Linked DNA regions of Rattus norvegicus. The protein of the gene in region 1 binds, or shares a complex with, the protein of each later gene. Links are inferred from orthologs where the notes say so. Each region holds a gene or a part of one and is shown in the gene's direction. Other genes may lie near its edges.

Region 1 (4,373 bases):
CCGACCCCTCCCAGGACTTGCAGTCTGAGCCTTTTTGGAGAATGAATAAATATTTTACACAGCACCAGGTAGCTGTCCTGGGGCTCTGCAGGCTTGTCTGCCCCCTCACCCAGGCTGTATGAGACGCCCCCCCTCCAGGGTCTGTGCTTCCTCTCTCTCCCCTGAAGCTCTGCACCTGCATGAGGTGGTGGCTTCACTCCTGGCCAGGGACGGAATCCACAGGAGGTGGGGCCCCTGGGAAGAGACTGTGGACTTCCGGGTCAGTCCAAGTTCAGCAGTCGTTTATTGTGCTCCAAGAGCTTCCAATCCCGGTTCTTGCAGCCTCCCTTCCAAAGGCAAGCCCGAGACAGAGCCAGGTTCACTTGGCCTGGGTCCTGTAATTCTTGGCAGGTCTATAGTCCTTATGGGAGAACCAGTTGGGGTGAAGTTCAGGCAGCAGGTCTGGGCATACATCTGCCCATAGTCCAAGTTTGCAGTGCTCTCTTCACAAGATGAAGCGTCTACAGACAGCTCTAAGGCACTAGAGATCTACAAGAGTTCTGGGGTCGAGTTACTAACCATCGGAACCATGATGGGGTCCTGGGTGACCCCTCAGGCCCCTGCTCAGAAATGCAGTGAGCTCTTGCACCTGGGCTAGAAACAGCAAGTAGTACTTGAGTGTATGCTGCAGCGTTAGCAAGCCAGGAACTGTAGCCACTGCAAAGAGTGACAAGGAGGTTCTGGGGACATTTTTTTTTTGAGTTCCTAGAGCCCCCACCCAACTTGTGCAAAGATGCTCCCTACTCACTCGAGGCAGTGGCAGAAACCACGCAGCGAAGTTTGACTGCGGCGCACAGATCGGCAGAAAGCCGAGTTTTGCTTCTCCAAGTCCCGGGTGGGGGATGTTAGCGGCCAACAGCTGATGCAGCAGCGGCTAAAAATGCCTCATCTACAGACCTGGGGTCAAAGGGTCTTGGTGCAGGCTCTCTCCACGGAAACCTGCTGGCACCGCCCTTGAAGAAGCTCCGCCCCATGACCGCAGAAGGGGAGCGTCCAGCCGCGGACCCGCAGCTACCTCTATAGCAACCGCAGCAGGTCCTTTCGAGTCAACGCGTCACGTGCTTGTTTCTCAGCCAGTAATGGCCGCAGGCAGCTTCTCCCGATTCCCGAGGAAGCCTCTCGAGGGTGGTCTGACCTGCGGGCCTCTCTCCTTCCCTCAATTCCGCCGTCCTACCAGCGGTCTAGACGTTCCCAGGCTGCCGCATGAGCCCGCGTGCGCCCCGGTGGCGCGCTAGGACCTGGGCCTAGTGACCGGCCCTCGGAGCGCCACTTCTCCAGCACGGACCGCTGCCACGTTCGCGTGGCGTGGGCCGGAGGGTGGGGCTTGACTGCCAATGGGCGGAGCCTTGGTCTGAATATTGAGGGTAGGTCCTAGTTACTGTAGGGCGGGGCCGGTAGAGAGCGCAGCGGTAGCTTCTCCGGGCTAAGCGAACCCGCTCAATCCGCGAGGCTCCGCCTTTGCTCACGTGTCCCCATGCCAGCCCCGCCCCACACCGGAAGTTCCGGTGGCGGATCGCCGACCGGGCGGAGCTGATAGCTGCGCGGGCTGCGAGATCTAGGTGGCCGGGCGCGGAGCCCAAGCCGTGCCGCGCGGCGCCATGAAGGGCAAGGAGGAAAAGGAGGGCGGCGCGCGGCTGGGCACTGGTGGCGGCGGCAGCCCTGATAAGAGCCCGAGTGCGCAAGAGCTCAAGGAGCAGGGAAACCGGCTCTTCGTGGGCCGCAAGTACCCGGAGGCGGCGGCCTGCTACGGCCGCGCCATCGTGAGTGCGGGGGGCGGGGGCGGGGGCGGGGCCCGATGTGCCTCCCAGTTCTGTGATTCCCGGACGATTTCTGGCAGCCTAGACCCGGATTGCTGTTCCCGAATCCAGGGCAGATTGACTGGGGACTGGCGGGCGGGATGCTTGATTGAGGCAAGCTAAGGATGACACCAGAAATTCTTGCCCCTTGAGGCTCCCAAGCCTAAAGCTGGTGGAGGGGTTCTGGGATTTTTCTCAAAAACAGTTGGAGGCAAGAGAGCATGGCTAGAATCCAGAGCTCTGATAACTCGGAAATCTCCAGTTCCTCTCTTCCACCCATGGGCCCCCAATGCTGGAGAATTGTCCGGATCATTGGCTTTCAGCTTGCTATTAGAGAGGGGATCAGATGAGCCCACATTCTTTGTCACCTGATCTTGGTTCCCAGACCCGGAACCCACTTGTGGCAGTGTACTACACCAACCGGGCCCTGTGCTATCTGAAGATGCAGCAGCCTGAACAGGCACTTGCTGACTGCCGGAGAGCCCTGGAGCTGGATGGGCAGTCTGTGAAGGCGCACTTCTTCCTGGGGCAGTGCCAGCTAGAGATGGAGAGTTATGATGAGGCCATTGCCAATCTGCAGCGAGGTGGGCTGACAAGATGCCAGATTGTGGGCACCTTTGGGGCCAGGATTGTTGACAAGTGTAACCTAAAGTGTCCACTCCCCCAGCCTATAGTTTGGCCAAGGAGCAGCGACTCAACTTTGGGGATGATATTCCTAGTGCCCTTCGCATTGCTAAGAAGAAGCGCTGGAACAGTATCGAGGAACGGCGCATCCACCAGGAGAGTGAGCTGCACTCCTATCTCACCAGGCTCATTGCTGCTGAGCGAGAGAGGTGGGTCCCGCCCCCAACAGTTAACACCGAGTCAACAGTGCAAGTGTTTATTAAAGGACAGCAGCCGGTACATGGGAAGCCCGGGAGGAAAGAGGCCTGAGATGGGAAGGGATCTGTCATTTCCCTGTTGGGGCCATCACCAGCTGGCTTTTTCTTGACCCTCAGGGAACTGGAAGAGTGTCAGCGGAACCACGAGGGTGATGAGGATGATGGCCACATCAGGGCCCAGCAGGCCTGCATTGAGGCCAAGCACGTGAGGGTGCCCCTAGTCCACATGTGGGTCGTTGTGTGTGTGTTTTTGTGTGTGGCATGAGAAGTGCCCCAGCCTATGGTGGCTCTGTTGGCCCATGCATGACATGAGTGCCCCGGTGGACAGAGTGTGTGTGTCTGTGTGGAGGAGACAGGAGTTGCCCACACATGGCGCTCAACTCTGCAGGATAAATACATGGCGGACATGAATGAGCTCTTCTCTCAGGTGGATGAGAAAAGAAAGGTAAGGACGGAGCCTTGAAGCTCATGGGCAGGCTCTGGTATGGTGACTTCCTTTCCAGTTGCAGACATTTCCCTCTTGTGCTGCAGAAGCGAGATATCCCTGACTACTTGTGTGGCAAGATCAGCTTTGAGCTGATGCGGGAACCCTGCATTACACCCAGTGGCATCACCTATGACCGCAAGGACATTGAGGAGCACCTGCAGGTAAGGAGGGCCTGTGGTCTCGGGACTGGGATCAGGGGACACTCAGGCCATTGAATACTCTTGACTCTGTCGTTGCAGCGCGTGGGCCATTTCGATCCTGTGACCCGGAGCCCTCTGACCCAGGAACAGCTCATCCCCAACTTAGCCATGAAGGAAGTCATTGATGCTTTCATCTCTGAGAATGGCTGGGTAGAGGACTACTGATACCCCATGTCCTGCCTGGCACCCTGGCCCAGGAGGGTCTGGAGGCAGAAGCTCCAGTCCCTGTATATAGTTTGTGTCCCTGGGCCTGCCCCCATCGGTCCTGATGATGGGTTCTGAACTGCTCCCCTTCTCAGCATATCCCTTGCTGGGCCATGAGCCTCCCTTGTCTCCCTTCTGGGCTGGAGAGCTGGTGAGGGTGGGTTGCTGCTGCTGCTGCCACTGTCCTGTAATAAAGTCTGTGAGCACTACATTGGCATGTGCTGGTGCAGTGGGCTTGCCAGTCGCTTGTTGGCTAGCCAAGGAAAGTGGATATGAAGACACTGGTGTCCAGATTGAGTGTGGCATGCCACCACCGATCAGGAAAGTACAGCGCCTGGGAGAAGGGGCACGGAAAAATAGTCTGATTCCCTAGTTTTTGGGTTAGCCCAACCCCCACCTACCAGCTACTGACTTCACCAGCCTGGATGGTACATTCTAGAGGCCGAGCTGATGGGGCTAGAGATGGGTATATTTCCAGGAGCCAGGCCAACGTGGTCTTGTTAGGGTGGAACTCAGGTGTCTTCTCAGGAGGGTAGAGGAACCAGCGCTGGAGGCAGGAATGTTAAGGTCACTCTCATGTGCTATGGACTACAAACACCAAATTCATGCCCCACCCTTGCACTGACCTTCCGACCATAGATAACCTCTGAGAAACCAGGCCCATGCCAGTGGAAGGGTACCCCAGATCCAGCTCCTGTGGGGTCAGTTGTGAATAGCTGATGAACAAAATATATACGGGCTTCCCCCAAATCTGTTTGAAAGGAGC
Region 2 (2,714 bases), on another chromosome or scaffold:
CTCCCTCCCCCGGGACTCCCACTCGCTCCACCCTCTAGGGAGCGTCCTACTCACAACCTGGAGAGGCAGAGCTAGCTGGGCCTGTGGGAAGGTCTCTGATGATCCTGGCTACTCTGTCCTTCCCTCACGTGACTGGTACCAGGGGAGGCAGGAGAACATGCTCTTTGGAGCCCAGGATTTTAGTTCTGAGTCTATCTGCCAACACCAAGCGTAACCACCTCGAAGCTCATTATCTTTGCCTGTGAAGTAGGGATGGTAATAGGACCTTCTTGGCGGGATTCTTAGCAACCGAATCTGAGGCAACACCCGAAATGTTGAAAGGGCTCAGCCGGTCATGGGCTTTTGTATTCTTACTAATATGGGCATTCCAAGGAAACCATTAACATGCCCTCATGGTTTCGAGTTTGTGGAAGAAGAAATCATATACTGGGCAGCTTCGTTCCCACCAAATAACAAAGAAAAGATCTTTTAATTCTTAGAGCTGGGTGGGGTGACACATGCCTACAATTACAGTCCTCGGGAGGTCTAAAAGTTAAGGTCTTAAGGCCAGCCAGGGCTCAGCAAGAGGCTGTCTCCTCCCACCTCCCAAGTCCTTCTGAGAAGCAGAATCAGATTTGAAAACACAGATCCCATCTTTGGTGCTCTCTGACTCAAGTTTATCTGACTCTGCCATCTCCACCCGCGGGTCTCATGATCTATGAAACAGAGGCTTGGATTCACGTGGTTTACTGAACGAGACTCTTAAAAGATGGTAACACGAGGCCGGAGTTCAGATCGGGACACCTTCATAGAAGCCAGGTGCGACCACACACGTCTGTAACCGAGGTGGAAAGATAGAGTATCCCTGAGGCCCAAAGGCTAGTTAGCCTCACCAAATTCACAAACTCCAGGTTTAGTGAGAGACCCTGTGCCTCAAACAATAAGAAGGCAAACAATAGGGGAAGATTCCCAAAATCAGGTTCTGATGGGAGGGGGGATGCCTGGGTGCGCACGTGCACACACGCACACATGCACACTCATGTGCACACACGCATGCACACGGGTGTGCACACACACATACAAACATGCAAAAGAACATTTTCTTTCCAACGAATACAGTAGTTTCAGCTAGTTTAAAAACAATCAGTGGGTAAGATCTTGTGTTTTGCTCTCCCAGGCTTCCTGCAGAAGTGGATCCAGTGACTGTATTTGCCTCACTTTCTCCAGAGGGTCTGCTCATCATTGAGGCTCCCCAGGTCCCTCCTTACTCACCCTTTGGAGAGAGCAGCTTTAACAACGAGCTTCCTCAAGACAACCAGGAAGTCACCTGCTCCTAAGACGTCAGCCTTGGTCCTTCTTTGCTCCAGGCCCCTGCCCCAGGGACTCTCTGATTTGAGGGTAGACGACTTTAGCAGCACTCAGATTTAAGGCAACTCAGATGTTGGGGGATGGGAGGGAGAACCAAATGACCATCCCTGGATAATGTAGTAGTAGATTTCTCCACAGGGTGACACAATGGGCCCGCCTCGCTTGGTTGCCTTAGGTCAAAGTATTGGGAGGTTTTTCTTCACCTTGTCTGGGTGAAGACACCACACGGTCTATAGTTGCAAAACAAGCAAATGGGGACTGAAGATTTCATGTTACATTTTTACCTTGCAGCTAACGCAAGACTTGCTTTTCTCTGGGGACCTTCCCACCACCCAGATCCCCTGCTCTGGGCCCTCCTTATATGTGGCTTGGTTGATGGGACTCATTGGCTTACCTCAGTGTGTTTCTAAACTCTCTGTCTAGAAGAGGTTATAGATAGGTCTTATATCCCCATATGGGATTTATCCACATAAAACACAGTCTGGATTTTTCACAGCATGACCCCATGGCTCTCAAACCATCACCACCAAGGACTCTGGGAGCCCCTCAGTTAATTCTCCGGCTAAGGTCCCCTTTATTGTGTCCCCTGTGTCCAAGTCAGGTTTTTACAGAGAGCTGTCTTCAGGCAGCTCCACCAGGAACCAAGCAAAGGTCAGACAGCCTGGCACGCAGGCTAGTGGTATTGTGTATGTGGGGGTGGGGGTGTCTTCATTGTGTGAATTGAGCTGTTGTTTAGGGGGAAGATAAGAGTAAATAATAATGTTCATAATAAAGGAGCTGATGTTCTTAGCACTCCGTGCTTCATTTATCGAGCAACTAAATGTTCTATCACCGAGGTGCACACACTATCAGGATGCTACGGCCTCAAGTAATGATTTCTCAATGAATAGCGGGCAGGACGGTATAAATGCTTCAAGCCTACTCCACAAGAACTTCAGATGTGCCGGCAGAGCTGTTTCTGCCGTTCTGCTTCCTGTATTTGGTCTACGCCCTTTGTGGTGACTCCACACAGCCATAGTCTGTCCTCGAGGTTGAAATACAGATGCTAGAATCCATCCTCCTGTGACAATGTAGGGAGGAGAAGGCTGGGGTGAAAGGGACGTCGAAGGTCATACGTCTGTCCAGAGTCCAATTCCTGGTGGCCCAAGAGGATGGGATGACGTCATAGCTACTTTTCTGGTTGCTGTGAAAAATTATTTTGACAAAAGCAGCTTAAGGAAGGAAAGGTTTGCTTTGGCTCACAGCGGAAGGGTACGAGCCAAGTACCCCTCCCCGCCCACAATTAGGTTTCGTTAGTGTTTTATCGCAGCAACAGAAATCAAGCTGGGACAGTGACTCTGAATCCTTACTTGGTGAAAGACACTCCA

Evidence for each region. The genes of interacting proteins can lie anywhere in the genome.
Region 2: Stub1 (region 1) and Hspb8 share a complex: the UniProt entries of both Homo sapiens proteins name them as parts of the chaperone-assisted selective autophagy (CASA) complex. The link is inferred for Rattus norvegicus from reciprocal best matches to the Homo sapiens genes STUB1 and HSPB8.

What each region holds. Positions count from the first base shown.
Region 1 is NC_086028.1:15,354,721-15,359,093, reverse strand, and holds Stub1 (E3 ubiquitin-protein ligase CHIP), read left to right. Parts: upstream 1-1,534; 5' UTR 1,535-1,637; coding exon 1,638-1,799; intron 1,800-2,220; coding exon 2,221-2,419; intron 2,420-2,502; coding exon 2,503-2,668; intron 2,669-2,701; exon of another isoform or gene 2,702-2,833; coding exon 2,834-2,921; exon of another isoform or gene 2,922-3,104; coding exon 3,105-3,161; exon of another isoform or gene 3,162-3,247; coding exon 3,248-3,364; exon of another isoform or gene 3,365-3,442; coding exon 3,443-3,568; 3' UTR 3,569-3,816; downstream 3,817-4,373. Other genes in the region: Jmjd8 (jmjC domain-containing protein 8), read right to left, coding at 3,861-3,941, 4,020-4,154, 4,234-4,301. UniProt on the Homo sapiens protein: E3 ubiquitin-protein ligase which targets misfolded chaperone substrates towards proteasomal degradation.
Region 2 is NC_086030.1:45,849,801-45,852,514, forward strand, and holds the end of Hspb8 (heat shock protein beta-8), read left to right. Parts: intron 1-1,156; coding exon 1,157-1,316; 3' UTR 1,317-2,139; downstream 2,140-2,714. UniProt on the Homo sapiens protein: Involved in the chaperone-assisted selective autophagy (CASA), a crucial process for protein quality control, particularly in mechanical strained cells and tissues such as muscle. Displays temperature-dependent chaperone activity.